Linked DNA regions of Saccharomyces cerevisiae S288C. The protein of the gene in region 2 binds, or shares a complex with, the protein of the main gene of each other region. Each region holds a gene or a part of one and is shown on either strand. Other genes may lie near its edges. A codon is read from its position in the direction of its gene.

Region 1 (4,814 bases), 420 kb from region 2:
TTTGGGGGCTGTTTCTCATTATTTTCCGCTTGTTTCATTAGCTCTTCAAATGACATCTTTTTGATAGGTTCAGGTTTCTTCCTTACAACTGGCTTGAGTGGCGCATGACTTGCTCCAATAGACCTCTTAAACCTAATTCCAAGGCCACCTTCATCATCGTCATTCCTTTCTATTTTCTTTTTCTCAGATCCAGATGAGGTGCCACGTTTCCGTTTTACACCACTTTTTTTAGCCAAAGCACCATTCTTTAACAGTTCCTGCCGCCTCAGCTCCTTCAATCTTTTTACTGCAGGATCTTCGTCTCTTATGTAATTTTTGGGTAACAAGGAATACTCTTCGTCATTCTTCTTGGGTAATGGATCTTGCACTTGGGCTTTTGATGCAGTCGTTGATTTTCGTATTTGGGAAAGTTTGGAAAGAAAACTCATAACTAAAATATTTCACTTTGAATAGGACTCAAGTCCCTGTCCCTCTCATCAACTTTTATTTTCAAATTACACTAGTTATTTTATTGTATTCATATATTAATCTGTGGCACTTGTCCATGTGGGAATATCTTAGTCGAACAAGAAAAATAATCATGTTAAACGAAAAAGTTTGAAGCCAACTAAGTTCTCATTCATTACAAAGTATATACAAAATTCCTGAACATAGAATTTCTTTATTAAAAACATACTTTCCTAATTATTCAAACCGTTTCAGCCTCATTTCAGTCTGATTCCTCTGACATCTCTAGTTCTTTCATAAAATCCGAATAATCCTCCCCGACATCGTCGTCTGTAGCACTTTCCTCCGCTTTGTCAACAGAAACATAATCTAAACTATCTTCTGGCTCTGAAGGTTCACTATACGGCCTTGCTTCGTGGTTTGCTATACCTGGTAGGAACCCACCTCCCATAAAAGTCTCCGTATTATCGTGATTGTCCGCAATATTCTGTTCCTTCGTAACGTTAGGTTCTTCCTCGGCAATTTTACCATATGTGGAGTTCAGCTTGCTACGAATACGCAGTTTTAGCAGTAAAGTATTCCAACTCTCCAAAGCACCAAGCAAATGTTCCTTCCTATTATCATCCTCTTGAATAAACTCTATTCCATCAATAGCGGTTTCAATAGCTTCTCTGAGCCACTTTGCAACAACAATGCCACTTAAAACTGGCTTAACTGTACTGCCGCGTTCAAACTTAAAAGAAGTTACAGCAGGTGCAAATTCCACCCCCAAAAACCTAGCAGCTTTAATTGCCACAGGATTCTCAACCAAACAACAGTTACCAGGTATCATCGTTGGTGCAAAAACTTCGATGTTTCCAAATGTATTCTTGGTTATTTCACCGCTCGCACTGGCTAATGGAGGGATGTATAATTCTGTGTCTTCAAAGCTATATAATCTTTCATCTTCTTCTTCTGCTTCGCCCTTAGGCCTTCCAACTGTCCTCTTTATCACCTTTTTACACCTGCTACCAGTTTTTAAAATTCGGCCGTTCATGTACCATTGTCTAGCACTTTTCAAATCCGCAATATCTCTTTTTGCATAAACTTTCAAAACCTTCCCAACTTTTCCATGTACTTTTAAATATCCACACTCTTTACATCCTGGCTTTACAATTTGAGTCTGTTTGATATCTTGTTCTAAAACATAATATGGGTGGTTTTTCAAATCCTGCACCGAATCTGGTATGCCTTCACTTTCATCTCTCTGAAAAAAATATTGATCTTCGTAATCATCAATTTTGGTTCTCTTTCTATGGTGAAGTGCTGTTATCACTTTTCTGAACCATTTCTCACCAAAGTCATCTTTAGTAATTCTTCTTTTTCTTACTTTAGAGTTCATCCATTGGGCATATCTTCGAGTTACATCTCTACAGCCATACTTCCGATCGTAAGCAATCACGTACCTCAACATATTTCTTTCGCAGCACGCCACGCCTTTCGGTGCCAACTTGGAATGAAGTCTGACCTGTTCAATGGTTTTGAGATTTACTGGGTCAACAGTTATCCATTTCTTAGAGAATTTGTCCCACACTTCACACCAAAAAATCGGATACTTGACCATATCTTTGTACGCATTGTTTCCATTCAAAGAAGTGTCAATCTTCATATTGGTAAAATCTGGCGGTTGACATGACATGATAAGTCGTGCGTTAACATTACAAGCCCTGAGCATCGCAACGAAACCTTGCACTGAAATATCAGGATCTCCGTGACCTTTACTGACGGCCCTTAAAAAGTCAGATCTTTTCAACGTCTTGAATTTTCTTTTGTTATTGGCGCTCATTTCAATTTCTTTCCAGGTTCTCATATAAAGTCCCACATTATCATATTTTTTAGTGATCTTCCAGTGTTTTTGCCATAACTCCATGCATTTCTTCAACCCATCTAATAATTTCCTAGTACTCCTAAGTGGGAGTTCCTCATCTTTCTGAGGATGCAGTAGCTCAAACACTTTCTCAGGAACTAAGTTGCTCAGTTTTCTAGACAAGCGCTTGCTGTTAATCCATTCATTTCGTATAAATCCATGAACCATCAAGCAAACTAGATACAACATGTGGAAATATTTTCTCCTTTTCCGTTCTTCATTAGAACAAACGTTGCGGCTTGTCCTTCTAGCATCACTATTCCTTTTACTAGAGGGCTTAATTTCAACAGATATATCTTCTACACCGGCCACCTCATTTCCATCTGTCACGTCTTCAAATTCCTCCGAATCATAATCTTCTTCAGATGACTGGATTTCCTCTACACTATCATCCGTCGGTACCGTAACGACGCCATCATCTGAAGAATCTAAGTTTACAGTAACAACGCTTTCTCGTGGCAATTCATTCAACCCTGTTTTAAACTTCTTCTTGGCATCTGGTAGGGGCTGGTTCTTCCTTCTGACTCTTCTTCTTCTACTCAGGGGCGCTTTTTCTGCCTCTTTCTCGTTAAGAGCCTTCCTTATTAGTTCAAAATATTCCTTGGGCAGGTCTTCATTCATTTTAGCGGAAAAATAGTGTCGTTATGTCTCTGCTTGTCGTCCTGTTTGAACTGCATAAAATTTGCATATATTGTGCATGCATTAAAGGTACTTAACCGCATTTTTCCATTTTCCGCCGCACTATATAGATGGTAGAAAAGCAAGAGGAGAACCTTACATAGTTAATCAAGATATGTATACATATTTCATTCACCTGTATTTATTTACAGTCTCCAATAGAGCAGTCAGATAATGATCGGTAATACGCCCTCGCTCTTTCATGATGGGCATTTGCGCTAGCGCTTGCTCCAGTTTTGCAAGGTATTCATAGTTAGATCCACTAGGTCCATGCGACACGGCAATTACTTTCGCAGTTTCATCCACGGTCTCTGGTCCGACGAAGGCCTCATTATCTATTGTACCAATGTACACCGAAGTAAGTAGTACCCGTTTACCCGATTTGTTGTGCCGAGGCAACTGTTCTAATGCTTCACCCAATTCTGCCTCGTGCTCCCGATTAGTTTCTAGATGCACCTCAACCTCATGTAGAGTGTACCCGTTTTGTTCTCTTACGTTCAAATACTCTCTAACCTCTTGAGCATGTTCTGGTGGTATATAATACACTACCCCTATGGTGACTAAGTCGTCGGGATCCTGGATAGGTGCACTTTCACTATACAAATTCACATTCTTCAAGAAGGCAGTTTGCCTTATAATATCCTCATACGGGATTAGTGTGGCCACTCTTCCTGGGTTTGCAGGTGTACCCCTATGATCAGTGGAACTTTGCCAGAACCGACGAGCAAAACCGTGAATTATTGCCGGTATTCTATGCGTGTAATGAGACGGAGGCTTGTAAATCAGAGATCCGTAGCCTAGGACCCAGATACCACTGTTGTCATTAGTCATTTGGCCATACAACTTTTTATAAGCCCAAACCAACGTCGTGATTGCTTCTTCCAAGGTTAAATCACCTCGAGACTAAACTCATAGCTAATATTGACCTTACCTTTTAGCGTTACCCAGAATACCAATTATCCCGCTCCTTGGCGAATCCAAAAAAAAAAAAAAGGAAAAATTACTGGAGTGGCAAATTTTCTCATTCTCTTCATATAAACCACTAGGGAGGACGTCGAAGAAAAGTCTGCTAGGTGTTGGTGACAACTTCCAAGCTTCCCTTAACACAAGGGAACTATTGATAACCGCTGGTTGACATACGCCTTTAAAAGAGGTCATACGTTGCGACACTCTCTCCCTCCCCTCTCACTGATGTTTTCTGTCTTCAATTTCTGGCAATAATCTTAAGACGAAGCAGTCAAGTCCTAAGGAAGAAAACGATTTTTGATTGTTTTAAGTTGCCACTACGTAGTGGTCAATATGGAAGCCTCTGCGCAATGGAGAAACACGGGTGGCATAGGTCAGCGAACCATACAAGCGAGAACACTCTCATTACTTTATGGATCATCTCAGTATTTCACCGTTCGAGGAAAATCTTCTTTCGCAGGCCGAAGTCACCGTGATATATTTGATACTTTTGAGATATCCTTGAAAGGTAAGCTTCTATGTTGTACGTTTATTTTTTTTAACTTTCTTTGTTTTAGCTTTTACTTCGATGATATGTTACTGCCCCATATACGGTAAAAGATCATACGTTGCCAAAATCAAAAGACATGATTGCCTGTATGTTTTCCTCAGCCCATCAATGCGTAATACGGTCAGCTAAACGCTGCTCACAAGCCAAGGGCTTGCGTGTTGCTCGCGCATCGGTTGGATATCACTGGTAGGCCACTTCTTCAATATTTTGAAAATGAAACACGCTAAAGTTGAAAACTTAATTATCAACCGTCCAGAAGGTGTAGGC
Region 2 (3,929 bases):
CTCATCGTGAAAAAATTGCGTAAGATGAAATCATGAAAACATGAAATAAAAAAAATAAATAAAAATAACTACACGATTCAAAAACGCCAAGATCTGTTAGTAGAGACAGCAAGCATTGCAAAACCATTCATCACTCAGTTGCTAGGCGAGTGTTGGTGCGATTTACCCTCATCATCTTTTTTTCGCTCCATTAAACAGTTCCTTGTGGCTTTCATGCAAAGTGTACGTCCATAATGAAGTATAATAACAGAAAACTCTCGTTCAACCCTACCACAGTAAGTATCGCTGGAACGTTGCTTACGGTGTTCTTTCTCACAAGACTCGTGCTTTCGTTCTTCTCGATATCGCTATTCCAGCTGGTAACTTTCCAAGGAATCTTCAAGCCCTATGTTCCAGATTTTAAAAATACTCCCAGCGTAGAGTTCTACGACCTACGAAATTACCAAGGCAACAAAGATGGTTGGCAACAGGGTGACCGCATCTTGTTTTGCGTGCCACTGAGAGATGCTTCTGAGCATCTTCCCATGTTTTTTAACCATCTGAATACCATGACATATCCGCACAACCTGATTGATCTGTCGTTTTTGGTGAGTGACTCTTCGGATAACACCATGGGCGTGTTACTATCCAATCTACAGATGGCGCAATCGCAACAAGACAAGTCCAAAAGGTTTGGTAACATCGAAATCTATGAGAAGGACTTCGGCCAAATCATTGGTCAGTCCTTTTCTGATCGTCACGGGTTTGGCGCCCAGGGCCCCAGAAGAAAGCTGATGGCCAGGGCTCGTAATTGGCTTGGGTCCGTGGCCCTGAAACCATACCACTCCTGGGTTTACTGGAGAGACGTGGATGTCGAAACCATCCCCACTACCATCATGGAGGATCTAATGCATCACGACAAGGACGTCATTGTCCCCAACGTCTGGAGACCTTTACCAGACTGGCTGGGAAACATTCAACCCTACGATTTAAATTCATGGAAGGAATCAGAAGGGGGTCTTCAATTGGCGGATTCCCTAGACGAAGATGCTGTCATTGTGGAAGGGTACCCAGAGTACGCCACTTGGAGACCTCACCTGGCATACATGAGAGACCCAAACGGTAATCCAGAAGACGAAATGGAATTGGACGGTATTGGAGGGGTCTCGATTCTCGCGAAAGCTAAAGTATTCAGAACAGGCTCACACTTTCCTGCATTCTCCTTTGAAAAGCACGCAGAGACAGAAGCATTCGGTAGGCTCTCCCGCAGGATGAATTACAATGTCATCGGCTTGCCCCATTATGTCATCTGGCACATCTACGAACCTTCCAGCGACGACTTAAAGCACATGGCTTGGATGGCTGAAGAGGAGAAGCGGAAACTAGAAGAAGAGAGAATTCGCGAATTTTACAACAAGATCTGGGAGATTGGATTTGAAGATGTCAGAGACCAATGGAACGAAGAAAGAGATTCAATCTTAAAAAACATTGACTCCACTTTGAACAATAAAGTCACTGTAGACTGGTCTGAAGAGGGAGATGGCTCGGAGCTGGTGGACTCAAAGGGTGACTTTGTCTCACCAAACAACCAACAACAACAACAACAGCAACAACAACAACAACAGCAGCAGCAGCAACAGCAACAGCAACAACAGCTCGACGGCAACCCGCAGGGGAAACCTCTTGATGACAACGACAAGAACAAGAAAAAACATCCTAAAGAAGTTCCATTAGACTTCGACCCTGATAGAAACTAGGCTCGGTTTTTTAGTGACCTACATATGAAGTACGAATTCATATAGTTGTACATATATACCGATAATAATATCAAACCTCTATTCTTTGGTCTTTAACTTTTCTTTGAGTGAATTACAATACCATTGTTATATCAATCACTATACACGGCTCGGTGGCGAAATTGAAATTTTTTTATTTTCTTCTCTTTCATTATGGCTAGGCAAGAAATAGCGACAGCAAAACTTAAGAAAAAATGATAGAACAAGGTCCCATCCAGTATTGACTAGTAGCTAAAGCTAGAAGGTACACTTAGGTTTTTCTCCCTGTTTTTAAGTTTGAACCATTGATAAGGCCGTTCGCAGACAAGCTTGCTACCATCCAATTTTCCTTCCTCTAAAGACTTAATAAAGGCATCTAACTCCACCTTTAAATCACAGATCACACAAAGACAACATACAATAGAAAAATGGTTAGCTTAACCTTTAAAAATTTCAAGAAGGAAAAAGTTCCTTTAGATCTGGAACCTTCAAACACAATTTTAGAGACCAAGACCAAGCTTGCTCAATCCATTTCTTGTGAAGAATCTCAAATAAAACTGATCTACTCGGGTAAAGTGCTACAAGATTCCAAAACCGTATCGGAATGCGGGCTAAAAGATGGGGACCAAGTTGTCTTCATGGTTTCTCAAAAAAAGTCCACGAAGACCAAAGTAACAGAACCTCCAATTGCTCCTGAGAGCGCCACTACCCCCGGAAGAGAAAATTCTACAGAAGCATCCCCCAGTACGGATGCTTCTGCAGCTCCTGCAGCCACTGCTCCCGAAGGCTCACAACCGCAAGAAGAACAAACCGCCACTACAGAACGTACTGAATCTGCCTCTACACCGGGATTCGTGGTGGGAACCGAGAGGAACGAGACCATCGAGAGAATCATGGAAATGGGCTACCAAAGAGAGGAAGTCGAACGAGCCTTGAGAGCAGCCTTTAATAATCCAGATAGAGCGGTGGAATATCTACTGATGGGTATTCCAGAAAATCTGCGTCAACCGGAACCACAGCAACAAACAGCCGCCGCAGCGGAACAACCATCGACAGCCGCCACCACTGCGGAACAACCGGCTGAAGACGACTTATTTGCACAAGCTGCCCAAGGCGGTAATGCTTCATCCGGTGCGCTTGGCACAACTGGAGGAGCTACAGATGCTGCGCAAGGTGGACCTCCAGGTTCCATTGGCCTCACTGTAGAAGATTTACTATCGTTGAGACAGGTCGTTTCAGGTAACCCAGAAGCTTTAGCCCCATTGTTGGAAAACATAAGTGCTAGATATCCTCAATTACGTGAACATATCATGGCAAACCCAGAAGTGTTTGTGTCCATGTTGCTAGAAGCCGTGGGTGACAATATGCAAGATGTTATGGAAGGTGCGGATGATATGGTGGAAGGAGAGGATATAGAAGTTACAGGAGAGGCTGCTGCTGCAGGACTGGGACAAGGTGAAGGTGAAGGTTCTTTCCAAGTTGACTATACCCCCGAAGACGATCAAGCTATTTCGCGCCTCTGTGAATTGGGCTTTGAAAGAGATCTTGTTATCCAGGTGTATTTTGCGTGCGATAAAAACGAAGAAGCTGCAGCAAATATTCTATTCAGCGATCATGCCGACTGAGATTGTAGTAATGTTATGGCTTGAAGTATCTTCACTTATTCTCGACAATGTTGCATGATTTTTGAGCCAAGGGAAAAAAAAAGCTTACGTAGAAATCAATAACGTATGTGTATTTATATATGCTAGAAGGGAAAGAAAAGAAAACAGAGAGATGGTAATATTAATCTCAATAATAATAATAATAATAATAATAACAATAATAATAATAATAACAACAACAAATAATGATTATACTGCTTTTAGCGCATATATACAGTTTTGTTAAAGAGTTTCAAAATTCTTGTATACCTGGTACTTTTGCCCATCGGGGACAGGTGCATTACCAGGTCGGGAAGCTAACCCAGTAGCTATTCCAACGCCGGCCGCTGCGTCCAATTCCAATGGATTATCGCTCAAGAACAGTACCTCGCTAGCCTTCGCACCGATATCCCGCAAGATGTTGGCGTAAGACTGTGTTTCGGTTTTCTTTCCAGAAGTGTTGATGTCGAAATAACCATCTATATAAGAATTCAAATCCAACGAATCATGCGCAGGCGCGTTGGGATCCTGA

Evidence for each region.
Region 1: the proteins of RAD23 (region 2) and RAD4 are in contact, whole or in part, in a crystal structure (PDB 2QSF), measured with the Saccharomyces cerevisiae proteins. Residues at the interface, in NP_010877.3 of Saccharomyces cerevisiae: Leu265 (codon at 2,975), Arg266 (codon at 2,978), Gln267 (codon at 2,981), Val269 (codon at 2,987), Ser270 (codon at 2,990), Gly271 (codon at 2,993), Asn272 (codon at 2,996), Pro273 (codon at 2,999), Glu274 (codon at 3,002), Ala275 (codon at 3,005), Leu276 (codon at 3,008), Ala277 (codon at 3,011), Pro278 (codon at 3,014), Leu280 (codon at 3,020), Glu281 (codon at 3,023), Ser284 (codon at 3,032), Leu290 (codon at 3,050), Arg291 (codon at 3,053), Ile294 (codon at 3,062), Met295 (codon at 3,065), Ala296 (codon at 3,068), Pro298 (codon at 3,074), Glu299 (codon at 3,077), Phe301 (codon at 3,083), Val302 (codon at 3,086), Leu305 (codon at 3,095), Leu306 (codon at 3,098), Gly347 (codon at 3,221), Ser348 (codon at 3,224), Phe349 (codon at 3,227); in NP_011089.4 of Saccharomyces cerevisiae: Lys138 (codon at 2,563), Arg139 (codon at 2,560), Tyr142 (codon at 2,551), Phe143 (codon at 2,548), Met145 (codon at 2,542), Leu146 (codon at 2,539), Tyr147 (codon at 2,536), Val149 (codon at 2,530), Cys150 (codon at 2,527), Leu151 (codon at 2,524), Val153 (codon at 2,518), His154 (codon at 2,515), Phe156 (codon at 2,509), Ile157 (codon at 2,506), Arg158 (codon at 2,503), Trp161 (codon at 2,494), Gly224 (codon at 2,305), Leu225 (codon at 2,302), Arg228 (codon at 2,293), Ile233 (codon at 2,278), Glu234 (codon at 2,275), Ser236 (codon at 2,269), Lys240 (codon at 2,257), Arg241 (codon at 2,254), Lys242 (codon at 2,251), Phe243 (codon at 2,248), Lys244 (codon at 2,245), Thr245 (codon at 2,242), Leu246 (codon at 2,239), Lys247 (codon at 2,236).

What each region holds. Positions count from the first base shown.
Region 1 is NC_001137.3:499,921-504,734, forward strand, and holds RAD4 (Rad4p), read right to left. Parts: upstream 2,975-4,814; coding exon 710-2,974; downstream 1-709. Other genes in the region: SPT2 (Spt2p), read right to left, coding at 1-428; GCG1 (gamma-glutamylcyclotransferase), read right to left, coding at 3,164-3,862. UniProt on the Saccharomyces cerevisiae protein: Involved in nucleotide excision repair of DNA damaged with UV light, bulky adducts, or cross-linking agents.
Region 2 is NC_001137.3:80,857-84,785, reverse strand, and holds RAD23 (Rad23p), read left to right. Parts: upstream 1-2,182; coding exon 2,183-3,379; downstream 3,380-3,929. Other genes in the region: ANP1 (Anp1p), read left to right, coding at 234-1,736; putative acireductone synthase UTR4, read right to left, coding at 3,641-3,929. UniProt on the Saccharomyces cerevisiae protein: Plays a central role both in proteasomal degradation of misfolded proteins and DNA repair.